Diceros bicornis minor: one gene and its partners. The protein of the gene in region 3 interacts with the protein of the main gene of each other region in a pairwise test. Links are inferred from orthologs where the notes say so. Each region holds a gene or a part of one and is shown on either strand. Other genes may lie near its edges.

What was found. The genes of interacting proteins can lie anywhere in the genome.
Region 1: the proteins of KASH5 (region 3) and JAGN1 interact in binary tests that used the Homo sapiens proteins (3 or more experiments, as listed by UniProt). The two-hybrid records come from large-scale screens. The link is inferred for Diceros bicornis minor from reciprocal best matches to the Homo sapiens genes KASH5 and JAGN1.
Region 2: the proteins of KASH5 (region 3) and BAG5 interact in binary tests that used the Homo sapiens proteins (3 or more experiments, as listed by UniProt). The two-hybrid records come from large-scale screens. The link is inferred for Diceros bicornis minor from reciprocal best matches to the Homo sapiens genes KASH5 and BAG5.

The regions. Positions count from the first base shown.
Region 1 is NC_080741.1:82,837,139-82,844,680, reverse strand, and holds the start of JAGN1 (protein jagunal homolog 1), read right to left. Parts: upstream 3,010-7,542; 5' UTR 2,847-3,009; coding exon 2,758-2,846; intron 864-2,757; coding exon 401-863; 3' UTR 1-400. UniProt on the Homo sapiens protein: Endoplasmic reticulum transmembrane protein involved in vesicle-mediated transport, which is required for neutrophil function.
Region 2 is NC_080763.1:48,214,808-48,222,500, forward strand, and holds the start of BAG5 (BAG family molecular chaperone regulator 5), read right to left. Parts: upstream 3,010-7,693; 5' UTR 2,697-3,009; intron 2,671-2,696; exon of another isoform or gene 2,209-2,670; intron 1,381-2,208; exon of another isoform or gene 1,306-1,380; intron 1,204-1,305; 5' UTR 1,176-1,203; coding exon 1-1,175. Other genes in the region: cytochrome c oxidase assembly factor 8, read left to right, coding at 3,106-3,228. UniProt on the Homo sapiens protein: Co-chaperone for HSP/HSP70 proteins. It functions as a nucleotide-exchange factor promoting the release of ADP from HSP70, thereby activating HSP70-mediated protein refolding.
Region 3 is NC_080773.1:24,834,489-24,841,528, reverse strand, and holds the start of KASH5 (protein KASH5), read right to left. Parts: upstream 3,011-7,040; 5' UTR 2,997-3,010; coding exon 2,843-2,996; intron 2,457-2,842; coding exon 2,316-2,456; intron 1,706-2,315; exon of another isoform or gene 1,473-1,705; intron 1-1,472. UniProt on the Homo sapiens protein: As a component of the LINC (LInker of Nucleoskeleton and Cytoskeleton) complex, involved in the connection between the nuclear lamina and the cytoskeleton.

The sequences.
Region 1 (7,542 bases), on a different chromosome or scaffold from region 3:
GACTTATAGACTGAAGCAGAATTTGATTTATTCCCTATCTCCTTCAGTCTCGGTGGCTAAGGGGTGATGGATGGAAGTGGAAAGAATGACCAAGAAGAGGCAAGGATGAGGCTCAGTCTTAAAATAAAAATCCTGAAGGACCTCAGCTTCAACCAGCTCAAGTTTGTTTTACAGCTGTTGATCACTGACTTCCAGCCAACTAGAAATAAAGTACAGTTTTGCAACCTCAGCTGATGGCAACAGGAGGGGCTTTCCAGAACTTGGACCTAGTTTGCACTCGTTTCCAACATCACAGCTGCCAAAATCACCAAAGGAGATTTCAGAACAGCTCCTCTACCCTCTCATTCCACTCAATGGGAGGCCCAGGCTTCACCCCACAGAGCAGTCCATCAGGCAGGCTTCATTTACGCTTCTTCTCCTGTGTGCTGGTGAACCAAGAGTCTAGGAGCTTCTTGCTGTAGTATAACTGCCAGGCATGCACTTGGACTGCCAGCACCAACACCAGGTACATGACAGAGACAGCGGAAAAACCAAAGAGGAAGCGGTAGGCCTTGCCATGGCGGTAGAGCTGCTGTGCAGCAGGGAACATCTCCATGCTGCCATAAATGAGGGGAGCGATGGAAAAGAGCCCCATGCTGATCATGGAGAGCACCAGGTAGCTAATGTTGTTACGGGGGAAGGAGAGGAGGCCCAAGACAGAGGGCACAATGCTCAGCAAATACGGGTACTCCCACTGATAGGGCATGGCCACCTGATCATGTGACAAGAGCCTCAGGTGTCCCACGCTCATCTTGGCAACCAGCAGCAGCCATATGACCAGATGCACGTAGATCAGCTTCTTGATTTCATACTTGAGGGTCACACTGTGGGGCAGAGCAGAGGGAGAAGTACCTTTCATTCAAAATTTTCTGACCACCAAGTATATGCCAGGCAACTATACTGGACAATGGGATACAAACGTGAATATGATATAGTCCCTGCCCGGAGGCTGGGCACAAGGAACAGAGGAAGAAAATATAATTAGAAAACGAATTGGAAAAGCTCTAGTAATTATATGTTGCAAAATAGATGGATCACAGGAAGGAGTAATCAATTCTGCTTGGGATAGGATGTCTGAGACAGCTAACTAGAGAAAGGTGACATTTGAGCTGGGCTCTGAGAGGTGGATGGAGATGGGCATTCTAAGCAGAGGTAATAGTATGCAGGCAAAAAGGCATAAGCATTTGTGTTCCAGGAAAGCAAGTGGTTGGGTGTGGCAGGAATACGCTGTAAGGGGAAGGGGAGTAGCTGGATATGAAACTGTAAAAACTATGAAAGAGTCAGTTTAAAGGCAGAAGAGTATTTCAGAGCTGTGTTTAGAAAGATGACTTTGCACCGTAGGGATACAGCCTGGAGGAAAGAGGCAGTGGCAGTCAGGAAATAAGCTCAGGCTGCCCATAATTCTCAAGCTACAGTCGATTTTTCATCTAAAGGCAGCACGTATTTCTCTTATTCTTCTAATTCTCTCAGGTCCTAAATGTATCCTCTTCACACTCGCAAGGGCAGAGGTTCTGCTCTGGACAGGCACAACAAGACTTGCTTGGGCTGTGAGGTCCTCTTAGGCAAGGGTCTAAGGATAAAAATGAAGTGAGGGTCCAAAGAGCTTGTCATTTTTTTAAACTCTGGAGAGAAAGATGTGAAAAACACTGACAGCGTTCAATGGATTTAAGGAAAGAAAATCTCGTTTTAAAATTTTTATTTCAGGGGCCAGCCTGGTGGCATAGTGGTTAAGTTCCCACACTCTGCTTCAGTGGCCCAGGGCAGCCCCGGGGCTCACAGGTTGGGATCCTGGGCACTGACCTACGCACCGCTTATCTAGCCATGCTGTGGCAGTGTCCCACATATAAAGCAGAGGAAGATGGGCACCAACCTTAGCCCTGGGCCAATCTTCCTCAGCAAAAAGAGGAGATTCGCAACAGATGTTAGCTCAGGGCTAATCTTCCTCACCGAAAAAAATTTCTTTTATTTTAAAAATATCCATTATAGAAAGTGTGGAAAGGTAGGTAGGGGTAAAATTAGTCACCTCTAGACTTCAAGCTCCATGAAGGCAGGGACCAGTTTTATTTGTTTGTTAATAAACTTGTTTATTGACGGTATAACATGCATACAAAGACCAGGTCTGCTTTTGCTCAATTATATCCTCAGTGCCTAGCACAATGCATGATGGGTAGAAGCTCAACAAATATTTGTCAAACAAATAAATGAATGTAGAAATACCCCTTACGTGGGGTGTTCATAAAATTCACTTTAGGCAGGGAAAGGCTGGACTTTAGGGTCCACATCCCCCTAAACGGCCCAAAATATAACAGCTACCACGTATTGGGCAGACTCTTATTATGTGCTAGATCTTATGCTACGTCCGTTACACGAACTGTTAGCTCACTAACTCTTCACCCAAACCCAAAAGGTAGATTACGTCTCCCTTCGCAGATGAGGAAACCGGGGCTCAATTAGAAATGAGGCTCCCGAGGTCCAGCATCGCCGTCACTCCGGCGGGGCTGGACCCCCTCGAGACACAGGGCGGATCCGAGTGGAGCGCACGGCGGCGACGGGGCTTCCCGGGAATGGGGACAGGCCCCGGGCCGCCACGGGAGGAGGGGGCTTGGCAGGTGCGCGGGGCCGGCTGGGAGTAAGACCGTGAGGCCGGGCCGGCGTCGCTCCCCAGGCCCTGCAGGCTCCGGCCGCGGCGGCCGGCGTGCTCCTCGCCTCAATTCATACCTCATCTGGTAGTGCATGGCGACACGCTCCCGGTGCTGAAAGTCGCTGCCGTCGGTGCCGGCCGCTCGCGGGCCTGCCCGAGACGCCATTGTACCCGCCCAGAACCCCGGAGCCCCTCAGGCCGACGCGCTGCCGGGACTACCGCGCCAAACCGCCTGCAGAACCCGGTCGCACCGCCTCAGTTCCTCCAACCTAACAAAAGCCCGATTCTCGGAGAAAAGCTTCCGGCCTCTCTGTCTCGGGAGGACCGACTCTGTGGTCACTCCCTCTCCGCGCCCCCCGCCGCGCACGCGCACACGTACACGCACGCGCGCGCTCTCGCTCTCTCGGGCACACCGCGTCCTGCCTCTCCGCGTTCCGAACGTGCAAGAAGTTAATCCTCGTTGCTGGCGTGTTTTTGCCGTCTGCACCGGGGCAGGTTCTCCAGCGTCTCTAGCAGTTTCACTTTCTTAAACTCCGATACGAGTTTAAGATGCCGCTGTCCCCAGTTCACAGATGGGGAAGCTGAAGCTTGGAAGGGTTCTGTGACTTCTCAAGAGCGCTTATCGTTCACACAGTCTCAGAGTTTGTCTCCATGAATTACTTAATCATTGCAAAGAGAAAACGGGAACTTTACAGTGGAGAAATCGGGTACGCACCCCCTTAACAAGGTGATCCATGTTAACTTGACCACTAACGAGACAAACTGACACTTCGTGCGTCTGGATACGCTGAGGACACAGCATCACTTATGTGATACTCCTGCCAAAGATACTTAACCTGAATCTAATCATGAGGAGATGACAGACAAACTCAACTTGAGGGACATTCTACAAGAAAGGTGGAATGTACTTTTCAAAAATTTCAACAAAACTTTTAAAAACCATGTTCTGAGTATCCACTATGCACTAGGATACCATGCTATGATCCGAGGGCACAGAAATGAGACAGACAGATGGGGTCCCTGTCCCCTGAGGGATCACAACCCAGAGGGGGGAAGAACCTACACCCGTGAAGCTATGAAATAGGGTGCTCCTTGGCATGAGGCTGAGGGAGCAGATAGGAGGCACCTCCTCCCACTTCAAGGATTAGGAAAGTCTTTCTAGAGTGAAGACCATTGAGGCCTGGGTAGGAATTAGCTGGAGTCGAGGGGTGGAAAGGGGTTTTCACTTCAGATGTAAACGCCCAGAATCCAGAGGGAGCTTGGCTGTTAGAACTGAAAAACTTCACAGTGATTGGAGCATTTGAAGGCCGAAGTAAAGAGTTAGGACTTTATCCCATTGTTGGGGAGTCATTAAAAGGTTTAACCAGCAGAGTGACAGGTTTGTGTTTTTAAAACTAGAGCAAAAGGTCTATTTGCTATATGGAGAATGGGTTGGAGGGGACCAGGGTGAAGCAGGGGAATTGTGTGAAGGCCACTGCAGTAATCCAAGCAGGCACGAGGGTGGCTTGGGCTAGGGAGATGGCAGTGGAGAGAGAGGAACAGATGTGAGCTACTTGGGATTTAACACCTGGAGCTGGGCAATAAGAGCACATGCAAATAAGGACATATACACAAAAGAGAGTCTCTATGTCTAGGATCTGGGAAAGGCAAGCAAGAAATCAGCAACATTTATTGAGCACCTACTATATGCTAGGCGTGTTCACACACATGAACTCATTCTCTTCTCCCAATACCCTTGTGAGTAATTACTATTGTTTTTCTGTTACAGAAGGGGAAATTGAGGCTCAGAGAGAGGAAGTGACTTGCCCAAAGTCACACAGCAGCAGGACTATGATAAGATCTCTGACCAAGGTGATCCTAGGGCCCGGGATTTTTTACTGCCCCTGGTTGAGGAATAACTAAGAGGGTTCAGGACCTACTGAGGGAAAATCAACTTTCTAGGGTATGGGCCAGGAATATCTGTCTCCTCCCCCTATACTCTCTAGAATGTCTTTCCTTGCGCTAGGGAAATCCTGCTGACCCTTTAGAATCCCTCTCATTACTCCAACAAGAATCACCTGCTCCACATCAGCCCCCATTGTTCTTGCTCAGTGGGTTCAGTGTTTGTTAAGCCTGGTCTAGGACCATCTCTGATAGAATCACCCAGGATTCTTATGAAAAACATAGATTTCTGGGCCCTACCCTTACCCAAATGAATTATTCCTCAGGGTTGGGCCTGAGAATGTCTATTTTTAATCTGAAGTGTTGACTACGTAATGCATTTATGTGGTTTAGAAATCAAACACTATAATAAATAATAAATTTATGCACAATAATTACATGAAAAGATGTTCAGCACCATTAGTTATTAGGTAAATGCATTCCAAAAATTTCTGAGATGCCACTTCACACCCACTAGGATGGCTAAAATTAAAAAAGACAGACAATAACAAGTGTTGGTGAGGATGTGGAGAAATTGGAGCCCTCAAATATTCGTGGTAGGAATGTAGAATGGTAGAGCTACTTTGGAAAACAGTTTAGCACTACTTCAAAAAATTAAACGTAGAGTGAATCTATGACCCAGCAATTCCATTCCTAAGTATACACCCAAGTGAAGTAAAAACATACATCGACACAAAAATTTGTACATAAACGATCAAGACAGCATTACTTATAATAGTCAAAAAGTGGAAACAACCCATATGTTCATCATCTGATGAATGGATAAAAAATTTGGTATGTCCATGAATGGAATATATTTGGCAATTAAAAAGGATACATGCTATCACATGGATGAACCTTGAAAACATTATGTTAAGTGAAAAGCTAGTCACAAAAAACCCCATGTTGCCGGATTCCATTTATATGAAATGTCCAGAATAGGCAAATCCATAGAGACAGAAAGTAGAGTAGTGGTTGCCAGGGGGAAGTAGAGAGTAACTGCAGTAGGTATGGGTGATAAAAATGTTCTGGAATTAGATAGTAGGGATCATTACACAACTTTGTGAATATACTAAAAACCATTGACTTGTACACTTTAAAATGTTGAATTTTAGGTATGGGAATTATATCTGAACAAAGCTATTATTTAAAAATGCAAGTGGTCGTAAGGGAAGGGCAATGATGGAAAGGCATGATCATTTGGAGCTCAGGTTCATAACCACTGGTGTGCCATGGCCCTTGGCAGCCTGGGAAAGCCTACAGACCTCTTCTCAGAGTGATGTTTTTAAATGCGTAAAATAAAATACATAAGATTACAATGAAAGAAAATAGTATCAAAATAAAGTTATCCAAATTTTTAAAAATATATGCAGTGAAAAATCCGACCCTCAACTCTGCTCCCCATGCTCCCAGATCTCAACCCTCCACCCCACACCACCCAACCAGGGAAATGCTTTTTTTCAGTGTTATTGTATATATTTCCAGAGGCTCTTGAAGAACGTACAAGCAAATGTAAAGCTATGTTGTTATTTTACGTTTTTAAAAATACAGAGGGTTGTGTATTATACACAATTAAAGACTTTGTTTTTTGTGTGTGTGTGTGAAGAAGATCAGCCCTGAACTAACATCCATGCCAATCCTCCTCTTTTTGCTGAGGAAGACTGGCCCTGAGCTAACATCTGTGCCAATCTTCCTCCACTTTATGTGGGACACCACAACAGCATAGCCTGACAAGCGGTGCCTCAGTGCGCGCCCGGGATCTGAACACGGGCCACCAGCAGTGGAGTGCGCACACTTAACCGCTACGCCCCAGGGCTGGCCCCAGGGCCGGCGACAAGACTTTGCTTTTTGTTTTAACTTAATATATCTTGTCAATATTCAGAAATCAAGATCTGCGAGCTAGGTGTGTTCATTCCTGTTGGTATGTTGCTGATCCCAGGCCTTTATTGAAAGATTTTAAGCAAAAATATATATATATTCTCTAGTGAATCCAAGCAAAAAAGTAAAGTGAGAATTCTCCTATTCCAAGATAACTAATGATGTGGTTGTGAATGTCCTGAATCGTTATCCTTATATATAACTTACTTAAATGGGGTTATGCCGTATGTAGCCTGAACTTTTATTCTATGACATGCCATGGGTCTCTTTCCATGTTAATCAGTATCGCATAAAAGTTAGTAAATGCACGTTATGGAGCATGTACTCTGCCAGGTAACTTATAGCATTTCTTGTAATCAGACCCTTGAGCTAGTTGCTACTGTTCCCATTTTCTACAGGCAGAGGCCAACTTTATTCACTGGGATTTAAACCCAGACTGTCATCTCATACACTTTAGCATTTAATCCTTGTGAGGACTCTAAGTCTGTACTTGCCTTAACTTTTTAGATGATGAAACTACTTCAGAGAAAGGTGATAACTTGCTTAAATTCGGAATAATGAAGAAGGGGAGCTATACTTCAAACCTATGTCTGTTTAGCTCTAGAGTTGCACTATCCAGTGCAGTAGCTACTAGTTCTATGTGGCTACTGAACTCTTAAAATGTGTCTAGTTGAAACTGAGATGTGCTTAAGTCTAAAATACATGTAGGACTTTGAAGACTTAATATAAAAAAAGGTAAAATCTTATCAATTTTTACCTCGATAATATGTTATCATATTTTAGATTGAATTAAATATATTACAAATAATTTCACCTGTTTTTATTTTAATGTGGCTATTAGAAAATTTAAAATTACATCTTTGTGATAAAGAGCATCTATGAAAAACTCACAGCTAACATCATCCTTAATGGTGAAATTCTGCAAGTTTTCCCCCTGAGATCAGGGATAGATAAGGATATCTGCTCTTGCCACTTCTATTCAACATCGTATTGGAGGTTCTAGTCAGGGTGAACAGGTAAGACAATAAAATAAAAGGCATCCTGATGGGAAAGGAAGAAGTAAA
Region 2 (7,693 bases), on a different chromosome or scaffold from region 3:
TCAGTCCGATTTCCATCAAATGACAGAACTTCTCCCTGGATCTCTGACAAGCTCCCAAGGATGCTCCAGACGGCCTTATGTGATGGGTGCTCCTCACCAACAAACAGCTTTCTCTTCTCGAGGGCCTCCTTCAAGTCAATGTAGGTGATCAGAGTTTGCACTTCAATCACGGCTCTTCTCCTGGCTTCCCGGATGCAGGGGTTTTTTTCAAGACTTACCTCATCCAACTGTCCAATCAAACCCTGCAATTCTGTTTTGGAGCTCAGGTACAATTCAGAAGGATTTTGTGCTTGAAGAAGCTCATTTTTAATTTCCCTCATTCTCTTGAGGACCTTTTCTATTTTTAAAATGGAATGATTCTGTCTCAGGTCAAATGCGTGAGTAGTGCCTGCTTCCTCCTCTAAATCCAAATATTTCAATAATTTGTTGATATCTTCTACTACCTCCCTTCGGTAGTTTCTGATTTCTGTACGCCCGCACACATCTAAAGCATCCAGATCAGCCATCAGCCCTGAGAGCACACAAGACAAGTGCCTGCAAGTGTCGTTACTGTTCACCCCCATCAGGAGTGCAATCAGAGTGCCTCTGGCCTTGTTCACTTCACACATCACAGAGTTAATTTTGGCAACGGAAGGATGCGCATCCTCGGAAAGCGGCAGGGAAGGCTGCTTTTTCACGCAGTCTTCGATAATCTCTTGCACTGCACAGATTTTGGTTAAAGTGTGATACCTTGCTTTCCGCAAGGAGACCTTCCCTCCAGTTTTAACATGTGTCAGCCTCAGAATGATATCTTGGATGCCTTCTTCAAATTCATCTGTCACACAGTTGCCTCCACTATAAAATGGCACAATCTTCTCTTCCACCAGGGACTGGGCTTCTTTAAAAATGTTCTGTATTTCAATCCGGTGTGGGTGGTTTGCATTCTGCTCCAACTCTTTGAGAAGACGCTCTGTCTCTTGTGCTGCCCTCTTCCTAGCTTGCTGAATGTCTCCTTTTCCTTCTGTATCTACAGAGTCTATTTCAAAAAGTTGTTTTGTTAGAAACCTCTCCAGTTTCTTGTAATTCTTGTCATCTGACAGGCCACTGAAGCCAATTACTTGCTGTTCTATACTTTTCACTTCCTTTTGGATTTCCTGAAGCCTACTAATAGAAGGATGTTGGTTGCCCATATCCATACTTCTGTTGTGTTCAGTTTCACAAGCACTGAAAGATGACAAGAATGATAACCGATTACATCACAAAGTCTCTGCAAAACGGTAACTGTATATTAATTCACTCTAAAATTCTCATTTTAAAAAGATATACCTAAGAAAAAGGGCTTGTTATTATTGTAATCCAAATGACAGTCATACTCAAGCAGTGATTAACCAACTCCCTCTCCTGAAAATAATATAAACACAGCAGCGATTAAGAACAGACAGGGGTTACTGCAGCGTCCAAAACGACCTGGTGCTCTGGGCCTGTGAATTTCAAGTTTCTTCAAGTGTACAAGACGGTAGCATGTGTCTTCATAAGTACAGCATGAAGTTGAACTATCACCTTGGAAAGAGCACAACTATCTTAGCTGCTGACACTGGAAGCTGTTTTTCTGGCACCAGCAGGGCACCTTTGTGGAATGTGAAACAGTAGCTCTTCTAACCTTCCAAACGATACAGTACCACCTAAGCACCCCACCTGGCCAAAGAGCTATGCCTAGTTTCCAGAAAAAGTAACTCAAAGCGAAACAAATACCAGTGGTTCCCAGACACCCCCCAAAGTCCCCCTTTCTACATTCTTCTCCATCCCTTTATGCACTTCTACAAAGCTACCCTGTTTCTCATCTCACCCTTTTAGTACCTCACAAATCTTCTCTACAGAGGTATGGAATTCCACAGGAAACGCGACTGGGATTACATTAAAGGCACCATCTTGGGCTTTGGAGGCCCGAGTACCTCCCCATGCCTATCATGCTCCCCTCCTCCCCCAATACATCCCACAAAAATGTGACAACTATGAATAATTCATTCACTAGCCTCCCATTAAGAGTCCAGAATGACTTAACGCATTTTTTCCCTGCTCTTGGGTTTCTACCAAACAGCTCACTGGAAGGGGCTGGATAATCAATTGAAACCAATCCCTTGTGGGTGTTCGAGCCAAGAACGTGCCTTTGGAGGACAGGTTGCCTCCCTCCTCCCCTCCCCTCCTCACCCTTCCCTCCCAGCACTTTACCCGGAAGAGGTCTGAGCTGATTTGGTCTTGGCTTCCCGTAGGTGAGGTGGCGAGATGGAAGATCAGCCCTTTACGGGGTGCAGCACCGGAGATGGGCCCCAAGCAGCATCGCTCTCACCCCTCCCGGCTAGATCTGAACGGGGCAGCCGGTGAAGGGGCCGGCGGTGGCGGCGGCAGCTACCGGCCGCTGCGGCCGCTCTGGGCGTCTCGCCCGGGCCCCCACTACGCGCCCGCCGGCCTGACCTCACAATGGCCCGCGGGGAAGGGGGCGGCTGGCCCGGAGGGAGGGGAGCCCGGCCCGTAGGGAAGGGAGCCCGGCCCCGCCGGCCGGCGGCCCCATCGGACCCAGGGCGTGGGGGCGGCGCCGACGCCCGTCCGGGCAGAGCCGGGTGAGGCGCCAGAGCACAGGTCGCCCGCGGATGCCCGCGCCGAGGGGAGGCCGCCCCCGCGGAGGGAGGGGGCCCGCGCAGCCGCTGCGCCGCGCTCACCTGTGCCGCCCGCGCCATCGCGCGCTCCGCCGCCGACACCCCGCGACTCCGCAGCTCCCGCCGTCGCCCGAGCCCGGCAGCCCCGCCCCCGGGCCGAACGCCCTCCGCCCTTGGAAAGCGTCCTCTGGCGTCCGCGCCGCACCTCGACCCGCGCCGAGCCCGCCGCTAGCCGCCTTGCGCGGCAGTCTGTAATGGCCGCGACAGTGGACCAGCCGCCGGGTCCCCGTCCGCGCCGCCCCGCTGCCCCCGCAGCCCGTTACACGCAGGGAAAGAGCACTGTCGGCCGCGCCGCTCCCCACTCTTTCTCTTTCTCTCTCTCACACACTCTGGCTTTGCGACCATGCCGTAAGGCAGCCCTTCGCGCCGTCGCGACTCTGCCGTGCGTCGCGGGAGCCGGGAGGCGTGGGCCATGGCTGCTTTGAGGCCGGGGTGGAGGACAGCTCTCTCTCCTTTCTGCCGCGCCTTCACTGGCCCCCGCTATCAGCTCGCCCCCGAGCGCGGCGCTGAGCGCAGGGATGCGGCACCGAGCCGGGTAAGCGGGGTTTCCGGAGAGGTTGGGCCGAGAGGGGTGACCGCAAGGGGCGGTAGACCCGGGCCGCGCCCCTCAGGGGCACCTGCGTGCCCCGCTGCGGCGTCAGCCGAGTTCCCCGGGAGCAGCGTCCCCGAGCCGGCCTGGGCCTGGCGCAGAGCTGCGCACGCGCCCTGGGGGCACAGGGGCCTGAGGAGGGGACAGGGGTATGGAGAGTGGGGAGGCCCCGGGGCCACCAAGTTTCCTACGTCTGCCCCCTTGGTCTGATGGAACTGAGGGGGCTGTTGACAGAACTTTTGCTAGTAGAGCAGAGTCATCTAGTAAGTTTGTACGTACCTTATATCTTCTCGAGGATCCTTCTTATATTTGAAGAGCTCTTGAGGTGCACAGCGTGTATTTATTTTTTGGCTTCGTTGAGATTATTAGTGCTTTTTTTTCAAGCGATGTCTAACTTTATCATTGTATCTTGTAGGACTTCACGTTGAAGGGTTTTTCTTGTTTGGAAACTGTGTGCATATACGCACGTTACTGGCCGAAGATCCACAAAGATTAATGTCTGTAGCAGCAAAGAATGGCAAGCAGCTCTTATAAATTGCGTTTCTGTGGGGAAGGATGCTTTGTTTAAGGGAGTCCTAGGCCTGGATTCCAACTGACAGGAAAATGTTGACTAGCAGTGTGGAACGGGTTGCAGATAAAATATTTAAACAAAGCATACAAATACTAACACTTCACTTTGTCAACAGGCTAACGAGGGAGGCTGGAAAACCTGGTTTAAAGAGTAATTAAAGAAGGATGAAAAAGAGCCAGTTAAGAATTTCAAAATGTGCCTGCCTGTAAATTTTCATTTCTTTTAGTCTGTTGCTATTATGTTTTTATAAATGCGGCTTTGAAGTTCTGTCTAGTTTACAGTTTAGACAGGAAGTTACCAAGACAACTGGTCACTCAGGTCTCTGGCTCAGTTCCCTGTTACAGTGGCCAAAGTCCTGTCTTCTGTTCCTAGAGCATAGAAATCCACGCACATCTCAGTCTTTGGGCAGGAGGATACTCAACAGGTATCTGAAGATGCTCTGGGAGGCAAACTGAACATCAGCCAACTGTCTCCAGAGTAAGGACTTAACCTAGCTTATTTTGTTAAAAGTAAAGAACAGCACCCAAAAAAAAGAACAGCACCCAAACAAGGCTTTCTCTGTTGTCATACAGCCTTTCGTTAAAGTAAATCTTACCGTGGGTCTGATCCTCAAGATGAGACCTCTCTGCCTTTTGTGGTCCAAGTCACGAGGAAGCCAGTGCTGCGCACCTGTTGGACTGCCTAGACCTGTGAAGGTGATGAGTGTGATGAGGCTGAAGAGTGGAGCAGCTGATCCATGAATCACACCTTGCCCAATTCTAGCATCGTGACTTGTGTTGTTTTTTAGGATGTGTGCCCCATTATGCTAGATATCGTATGGAACATAAAAGAACAGTTCCTGCCTCAGGGCGGTTTGCGTTTCCTGGGTTTGGTCCCAACCTTGTGTGCTTCCTGGGTACAGGGCTGGTTCTCCAGGTAATTAAATTCCTGCAGCACAGAGAGATTGTTGTCTTCAGACTTCGGTTTTGAATATTAGGTCTTCTTAAAAGTAGCAGGTCGTAAACCTTTTGCTTTGTTTATCTAAATAGATATATTTTAATCCACTATGTCTAGTTCACTCTACATATTTTTCATTAATTCTTTGTCCTTTACTTTCTGACCTTTTAGGACCTACGCAATTTACGCCCATCTCTAATCTCTGGGTACCAGTTTTTAATAGAAAAATATTATAGAACTTAGATTTAGGCACTGCTTTTCCTTCTAAACTCAACTTAAAAATTCAGCTCTTAAATGTTCTCCAGCTATTTCATACCTGCTTATTCCTTATCTGTGTAGTTTACATCATTGGTTCTTGAACTTGTCTGCACATTTGGAATCATTTGGAATACTTGAAAGAATACTGGGGCCCACCCGCAGAAGTTCCGATGTGATTGGTCTGGGATGTGGCTTGGGCATCAGGATATTTATTCATTTATTTTCTTGGTTTGTCTAGTTCCTTGGCCCCAGGTTTAGTGAGGTGTAACATCAGGATTTTAAGGGCAAGTCTAATAAGCTCACAAGTTGGAGAACCAGTGGTTATATTATGTGCATTAACATTTGCTTGTAGTCCTGAATTACATTAACATTTATAGTAATAGTTAACATTTATTGAGCACTTGCATGCGCTGTTCTAAGAGTTTTACATATTTTCACTTATTTAATCCTCACAATTCTGTGAAGTAGGTGCTTTTATCATCCCCATATTACAAATGAGGAAACTTAGGCACAGTAAGATTGAACAATTTCCTCAAGGTTGTAATGCTTGCACATAAGGAATATACATGTTATGGTTACTCTATCCAGAGGATGATAAATAACAATTTTTCTTCTATTAATTTTTGGATCAAAAAGAACACAGAAACAGGCCCTCAGCAGGGAGAGGTAATATTTACAAGTAACAAATAATGGAACTACTGGTGTCATCTTTTGCTTACATTTTCATTAAGTAGAATGATCTTCAAACCCCCAAGTGTAGATTCAGAATAAACATCATAAGGAGGAAGTTGAAACTCAAGATAAATGAGAAACTGGTGAGAGGTCTAGTCATAGGATTTTAAAGTTAATTTGGATATTTCTAGTATTTACAAGGCTTTCCATAAATAGTTGGAAAAAATTAAAAGCTGGGGCGGGAGGACTTTAAAAACCATGTGGTTTAACTCCATTATCAGAAAGATGAGGAAACTGGAACCCAGAGAGGTAAAGAGACTTGTCTGATGTTACATGGCAGAGTAAGGATTAAAACTGAGTTCTTTCCATTCTCAGTCCAGTGTTCTAACGTTTCCAAATGCTTTTTCTGGGCCGGCCCAGTGGCGTAGTGGTTAAGTGTGCACGCTCCACTGTTGCTGCCCGGGGTTCGCAGGTTCGGATCCCAGGCGCGCACTGATGCATCGCTTGTCAAGCCATGCTGTGGCGGCATCCCATATAAGGTAGAGGAAGATGGGCACGGATGTTATCCCAGGGCCAATCTTCCTCAACAAAAAGAGGAGGCTTGGCAACAGATGTTAGCTCAGGGCTGGTCTTCCTCACACACACACACACACACACAAAAAAAATGCTTTTTCTTCATCTAGTGAAATGAGAATTACAATAATTTATTGATTTTCTTTTTTTGTTACTTATGGGAAATTTAAAACATGTACAAAGATAGAAGAATATAAAGAATTGCTATGCATCCAATACCCTGCTTCTACAGTTATCCACTTCTGGCTGTTTATTTCAACTTTACCCCCATCCAGTCCGTCTTCCCAGATAATTTTTTGGCAAATATCAGACTTCGTATTTCTTTTTTTTTTTTTTTTTTATAAGGAAGATCAGCCCTGAGCTAACATCCATGCCAATCCTCCTCTTTTTGCTGAGGAAGACTGGCCCTGAGCTAACACCTATTGCCAATCCTCCTCCTTTTTTTTCTCTTTTTCTCCCCAAAGCCCCAGTAGATAGTTGTATGTCATAGTTGCACGTCCTTCTAGTTGCTGTATGTGGGACGCTGCCTCAGCATGGCCAGACAAGCGGTGTATCGGTGTGCGAACCCAGGCCGCCAGTAGTGGAGCGTGCACACTTAACCACTAAGCCATGGGGCCGGCCCCCAGACATCATGTTTCATCTGTAAATATTTCATTATCCTTAAAAGATATGGACTTTAAAATATACATATATATATATAAACATAATACCAAGGTCACACCTAAAAATATTATGAAAATTCCTTAATTCCAGCAAAGGTCCAGTGTTCAAATTTCTTTGATTGTCTTAGAAACGTCGTGAATGTTTTCTTTTACAATTTGTTTGTGTCAGGATCCAGATAAGTTCTACACATTGCGATTGATGATTTTTTTTAATCTTTTTTTTTTCTTGCTGAGGAAGATTCGCCCTGAGCTAATACCTGTTGTCAATCTTCCTCTTTTTTTGCTTGAGGGAGATTGGCCCTGAGCTAACATCTGTGCCAGTCTTCCTCTATTTTGTATGTAGGTCACCGCCATAGCATGGCTGGTGAGTGGTGTAGGCCCATGCCCAGGATCCGAACCCGTGAACCCCAGGCTGCCGAAGTGAAGCACGTGGAACTTAACCACTATGCCACAGGGTGGCCCCTGATTGATTTTTTTTTAGTTCTCTTTTAATCTATAGGTTTTGATTCCATCTTCTTTCTTTTTTTAAGTAATTTATTTGTTGGGGTTGGGGGAAGGATGTGTCCGTTAGAATTTTCCATGGTCTGGATTTTGCTGATTGCATTCCCGTGGTGTAATTTAACATGTTCCTCTGACCTGTGTGTTTCCTGTAAATTGACAGCTGCATTCTAGAGCTTTGACCACATTCAGATTTGACTTTTTTTTTAAGAGAAGACTACTTCATTGGTGGTGTGTTCTT
Region 3 (7,040 bases):
GAGCCACTGAGACAGCCCAGCCTCTTCCCCAGGGTTGGAAGTGACCCTCGAGACTCCCCGCCCTGCCTTTGGACAGCTGGGTATAGCAGCGGGCTGAGCACGGGCTGCAGAGTCTAGCAGACCCGGGAAGCAACCCAGGCAAGGGACTCAGCCTCTCCGAGCCTGTTTCTTCGTCTGGAAAATGGGGTTGGTCTCACCTCCTTCCAAGAGAAGAAATGAGAGACAATCTGGAAAGGCCTGGGCAGAGAGACTGGTACGTGGTGGAAGCTCAATAATAGAATGGAACACGTATTCGGCATTTAATAGGTGCCATGCCTCTTCTAAGTGTTTTGCACGGACCATGGTGGCTGCTATTATTCGCCCCACTTTACAGATGAGGATACCCAGGCACAGAGAAGTTAGGAACTTGCCCAGGGTCACCTGTTCCACACGAGTGCCCTTTCTCAGCCCTCTAACTCTTCAACGGTTCTTCGTAGTGAGCTAACATTCAGTCCCCTTGGGTTTGAGCCCACGTTCCTAGGGAAGGGGAGCAGGAACCCACATCAGGGGAGACACCAGGGCCCATGCCCGGAGCTTTACGGGCACTCTCGTTTCCTCCTCTCACTGTGCTCCCCACGTTACGGAGGAGGACCCTGAGGCCCAGTGAGGTCACAGGTCCAGCAAGGTCACTCGCCCAGAGCCGCTCAGCCAAGGAGAGCCAGGTGGAGTCAACCCAGCACTGTCTGGCTCCACATCTCAGGGGCCCTGAGGATCCGCACGTGTCTACAGTCCCTTCCCAGGGCCCTCAGGAGGATGTCACTCTGCTTCTCTCCTGTTCTCTTTCCTGTACTTTCTTCCTCAGTGTCTCTACCTCACTCTGTGTGTCTCTGTCCCTGCCCTTTTCTACTTTTCTCTCGGGCTCTTTCTATACATCTTCCTTCCCATCTCTCTCTCCCCTAAGCCCCGCCTCTTGGTCTCCCTGTCCTTTGCCCCGTTTTCTTCCCTGCGTCTCCGTCTCTGTGCTTCTCTTCCCATATCTCAGTGACTCTCCATTCCCCGAACCTTCTCTCTCTTTCCTCTGCTGCCTTTCTGGCTCTCTCCCCACCTGCCTTCCTCTGTCTCCATCTCTCCTGGGTGTGTCCCTCCCTTTCCTTCAGGAGCCTCCCGAAGCTGGCTCAGCCCTTTCCCGCGGGTTCCTCGGTGGCCGCACGCCCTCTGCTGGTGGCGGCGAAGTTTAGATGTCGGTTACTCCATCAGCCTGCCCTCAGGTTCCTTCACCGAGGTGTCTACCTTCCGCCTTCCCACCTGGAAAGCCTCCTGAGGCCTTGAGGAAAGACACAGGCTCTGCTGCTGGATGCTGGGAGCCTCTAAGAAAGGGACCCTGCTGCTGCCCTGGGGTGGGAGCCTCCTCCCCCATCACATGGGGCTCTCCCACTTAGATGAATTTCAGAGAGCGCCACCCAGCGTCTTCCTCATGAAGCCGGCTGTCACACCCAGAGGGTCTGCGTCCTTCCAATCACTCAAGGACAGTAACTGAGCTCCTATTCCGTGTCAGGCATCGTTCTGGGGCAGCGTAACCAACAGGGAGGGCAGCTCCTCGCCACAGGTGCTGCTTGAGCACTTGATCTGTGGTGAGTGTGAACTGAGATGCTCTGTTCGTGTAAAGTACGCACCAGATCATGAAGACTTAGTATGAAAAAAAAGAGAATCTCTCCAACATATTTTTATACTGATGATAAGCAGAAAGGAGATGATTTGGGACATATTAAGTTAAATAAAATCTATTATTGCCACTCATTTTGCCTGTTTCTTTTAAATGTGGCTCCTAACAAAATGTAAAATGACATACATGGCTCGCCTGTTGGACACGCTGCTCTAGGGACGGGGATACCAGAGTGACTAAAATGACCCTGCCTTGTGGACCTCATGCTCCAGTGGGGGAGACAGAGACTAGACGGACAGACAAACAGATGTCGGTGCTACGAAGAGAAGTGAAGCAGGAAAGGGGAGACAGCGTGACAGGCAGCTGCTTTACAGAAAGCAGAGATCTGAAGGAAGTGAGGGGGAAGCCCGCAGGTCCCCGGGGCAGGGGGACAGCGCCTGCAAAGGCTGCTGCTCTGGCCTCCCTAGAGCAAATGCGACAAGGTGTCCAGACCGGAGGGCACATAGCAGGCACTTAATCAACGATAGCTCTCTGTCTCCCACCCTGCACCAAGGGGGAGGCTCAGCCAGCCCAAGCCACCTCTCCAAAGTCCCCGCGTCACAGCCTGGTGCCCTCTTCACCCACTACTTCCTCCTTATCCTCCCATGGGACAGACAGGGGCCCAGCCACCTACTTTCTGCAGCGGCGGGGCTGCCCGCCCGGCTCTCTGGCAGGTCCATGGGCCACTGCCTCTGCTCTGCAGCCGCTGGCGACGCTAAGAGCCTCCCTCCATCACTGGGACAGACTGACAAAGCACCGGCGGCCCCGAGAGCTCCTGCAAGGACAAACAGAGAACGGCCTCCTCAGACCAGCCACCCGAGGATGGGGACCGTGCTGCCCCTCCTGTGCCCCGGGCCACTCTGGGTTCTCAGAACCTGTTCGCCCACCCTGCCTCGACCAGAGCAGCGCCCGCTCAGACCTGTTTTATGGATTGGAGGTGTGGGCTGGGAAAATGGGGGCCCGAGGAGCGGGCGGCGGAGATCAAAGGGGGGCTACTGGGCGGGGGTCACTTGCCTCCCCTCCTCCCCACAGCTTGTTAAGCCCTCAGCCCTGCTCCCGCAGGGTGACTCTACCCTGTCCCCTCCTCTCCCTCTCTACAGCTCTGGGTCAGGCCTCCATCCCTCCCCCTCCAGTCCATCCCCACAGGGCCCCAGAGCTGACCTGTCCCTCCTTTGCTCAGTGTTCTTCTACGGCTCCCCAGCACCCGGGGGACAGAGCCTAGACCCTGGATCTGGCATTGAAGGCCCTGCACGGCCTGGCCCCACCTGTCTCTCCACTCCAAATCACACTTGCTGCTCCAGCGACTCAACTGCATGCTGTTCCCCAAAGGCTGTTCCCCCCTCTGGGTCTCTGCCTCGGACACCCTCCTCACCAGCCCTTCCTGTCTCGGCTCACATGTCCCCTCTGCTGGGACAATGTTTCTGAACAAGGTGCTGTCCCTGGGCTCCCCCACCGCCCTGGGCTACTGACATTCTTGCCAGGTCAGCCTGTATTTGGAGCTGCTGGCCTTTCACTGGAGTTTGATCCCGCTCCTTCCCTGCTCCCAGCCCACCCATGGCTCCCGAGTGCCCCCAGGACTAAGTCCCAGTCCCTCAGGCTGGCGTGGTACACAGTGGTTCCTGCAACTCCTTGCCTCTTTTTGTCACTCTTCCCTCCACTGGCCGATCTCCAGGTTGCTCACCCCCATCACGGCCATGGGAGCTTAGCATCTTCCCACGGTCCGCCCAGGCCACGCACGCACCATCCTCACCAGTGGTCCCCGCCCTGGTGACAGCTCTCCTGGGAGCCTTCCCCGAGTCCCTGGAGCAGTTAGGGCCCCTCTCCTCTGTGCCCTGACAACGCCCTGTCCTGCCTCCGTGATAATCAGCTTGACCACACGACTTGCCGTCCCACCTCCAGGACACTTGCAAGAGTGAAAGGGGCGCTATTAACAATCACACTGGACAGTGGTGCCCCTCGAAGCTGAACTGGGCACACTGGGGCAAATGGTCACAGAGGGTCACCCGGGACCTGTGTGTCCTCCCCCCACCTGCTCAGCCCCCTTTCCTCACCAAGCACTCCCCACTCCCTGCTCTCCCTGGCGCCAGACGGGGTCCACGGCCGTGGAGCGCGCACTTCTTGGTGGCTTTTAGAACGTCCTAGAAAAAGGGGTCTTTGAAAAGAGACCCTTCCAGGGTTTGGACGAGCCCAGAAAGTGCATAAGGGGGGCGATGGCCGTGGGGCCTCAGTGGGGAAGGGGCCCTGCAAGGCTGCCGACCTGCACTGGGGGCTTCTGACAGGGTTCGGGGACAGACTCCTGGCGGGGGAGCAGGGGCTGTTGGGTGATCTTGGGGGTCTCTGACGGGGAGACTTGAGCAGGAGGACCTAGGCAGGGATTCTGCGGGGAGCCTCCAGCTGGGTTTCTGGGGGTGAGGGCTGTCTCTGACTGGGTTTCTAGGGGGGTCTCTGGATTCCTGGGGGATCTCTGGGTTTCTAGGGGGGGGTGTCTGGATTCCTGGGGGATTTCTGCCTGGGTCTATGGGGGGGGTCTCTGGATTCCTAGGGATCTCTGACTGGGTTTCTAGGGAGATCTCTGGATTTCTGGGGATCTCTGACTGGGTTTCTGGGGGGGGTCTCTGGATTCCTGGGGGATCTCTGACTGGGTTTCTAGGGGTGTCTCTGGATTCCTGGGGATCTCTGGGTTTCTAGGGGGGTCTCTGGATTTCTGGGGATCTCTGACTGGGTTTCTGGGGGGGGGGTCTCTGGATTCCTCGGGGATCTCTGACTGGGTCTCTGGGGGGGGTCTCTGGATTCCTGGGGGATCTCTGACTGGGTCTCTGGGGGGGGTCTCTGGATTCCTCGGGGATCTCTGACTGGGTCTCTGGGGGGGGTCTCTGGATTCCTGGGGGATCTCTGACTGGGTCTCTAGCGGAGTCTCTGGATTCCTGGGGGATCTCTGACTGGGTTTCTGGGGGGGATCTCTGGGGATCTCTGACTGGGTTTCTAGGGGGTCTCTGGATTTCTGGGGATCTCTGACTGGGTTTCTAGAGGGGTCTCTGGGGGGTCTCTGACTGGATTTCTAGGGGGGTCTCTGGATTTCTGGGGCATCTCTGACTGGATTCCTGGGGTGTCTCTGGATTCCTGGGCAGACCTCTGACTGGATTTCTAGGGGGGGGCGTCTCTGGATTCCTGGGCAGATCTCTGACTGGATTTCTAGGGGGAGGGGCCTCTGGATTTCTGGGGGTGTCTCCAACCGGATTTGCGAGGTCTCTGATAGGTTTTTGGGAGGGGAATCCGACAGGATTTTTGGTGGGTTTGAGAAGATTTCTGGGGCTCTCTGACAGAACTTTTGGGGTCTCTGATAGGATTTGGGGAGGGAGTCTAATAGGATTTTAGGGGGGTCTCTGACAGGCTCTGAGGGAGAAGTCTGACAGAACTTCTAGAAGATTCTGAGAAGATTTCCAGGGTCATCTATAAGATTTCCTGATGGGTTCCTTTCAGTATTTCTGAGGGTATTTGGTCGGGATTTCAAGAAGAATTTTAGCTAGATTTGGAAGGCCCTGATATCGGGGACTCTCCTCTACGACTTGGGGGCTTTGCCAGGACTGCGGGCGGGGCTCTGACAGAGCTTCTCTGGGGAACCTCGCTGCAGCCAGGGCCAGGGCTCACCTGAGGCCACGTCCCAGTCTCGGGACACAAACGAGAGCGACGAACAAACAACGGCAGTTACGTGGAGAGCAGGTGCGCGTGCGCCGTTCCCGCCAGAAAAAGCAAAGAGGGCCGGGGCGGGACCGAGAGCTCGCGTGTCGCCCAAACCCCGCCCCCCCGGGTTCCTCCCCTGACGCAGGCGCACACCGGCAGAAGGCGCGCGCCGGTCTTGTCGGTTACCTGCAACAGTGAGGCTGCGCATGCGTCTGGCTGCCCGGGCGCGCTCCCAGTCTGGTGGGGCGGGCGCATGCGCGTTGGCCGAACGGGTGACTGCGGGAGAGATTATGGCTGGGAGGGAGGGGTGACGGCGACGTCTACGCTGGGGTCTTCTGTGCGGCCTCAAATTTCGGTGAAATGGGCCCAAGCAAGGGAGAGTTGGACTGAGGGACTCCTTGTCCATCCCTCCCTTCTTATCAGCCACCAAGCCGTGCCCTTTCTGCCCTCTGTTCCGTGCCAGGCTGCACGTCACCGTCACAATGATTTGCTGCCTCACCACTCCCGCGCCCTTTTGTGGCTCTAGTCACAATGTATTAACAGGTCCCCGAAAGATTCTTTCCCAAACCGTTTCATTCATTCCTTTTAGGAGAGAGTGGGGAAAAAATATTCTCAGCTTTTCTGGCTGGAGAGAGGAAGAGAATTACATCTAACATTGACTCCCAAAAAGGGGGATTTGAGACAAAAGATGTCTCACCCACTCGGCCTCTCTGCTAGCCCAGATACAGAAAAAGAATCCTTTTGCATCCTCTTGTTCATCCAGCCATCATTTATTCAGCTGTCACTTCCTCAGAGAGACCTTCCCCTGCCGCGGTGTCTACACTAGGCCTCCATCTTAGTATCCACTTAACTGTTTTTTTAGTGGTCCTCATGGCCCGTCTCACCATGTGACACTCTGTATTTGTGTACTGTCTGTCACCCTCACTGCAAGGTGAGCTATATGCAGCAGGAGACTGTTTTGGGGCTAGAACATGCCTAGTCCAGTGCGGACACACAAAAAATGAGCTGAGGGGGACGGCCCCGTTGCGTGGGGGTTAAGTGCGGGCGCTCCGCTGCTGGGCACCGGGTTCGGATCCCGGGCGCGCACCCAGCGCCACTTGTCAGGCCGTGCTGTGGCAGCATCCCATATAGAGTGGAGGAGAATGGGTACCAATGCTAGCCCGGGACCAGTCTTCCTCAGCAAAAAAAAGAGGAGGATTGGCATGGATGTTAGCTCAGGGCTGATCTTCCTCATGCGCACACACAAAAATGAGCTGAATGAATGAGTGAATGAATGGACAGAATCCATGTCTCTTAACTACTGGGCAGTATAGAGTGATGATAAGGCTGTGGGCCTGGAGTCAGACATTTGTGGGTTTGAATTTTGCCTCCATCACTTCCTAGCTGCAACCTTGCCACAATGGCTTACGCTCTCTGAGCCTCAGTTTTCCTCCCAGAAATGAAGATAATAATTGCTTCTTATGTTACCTTGAGGACTTAAGGTGGTAATCCTTGTTAATTGACAGTTATTATTTTGGCTATTAGATGGTGGCTTGTTATTAGGCCTGGGAAAGAACCTGTTTGGTGGGTGATGTGGTGAGCGGTTAAAAGCGTGAGATATGGAATCAGACAAAGGTAGTGCCATTGCTGTGTGCCCTTGGCAAGTGACTTCACCTCTCTGAACCTTAGCTTCTCTAAA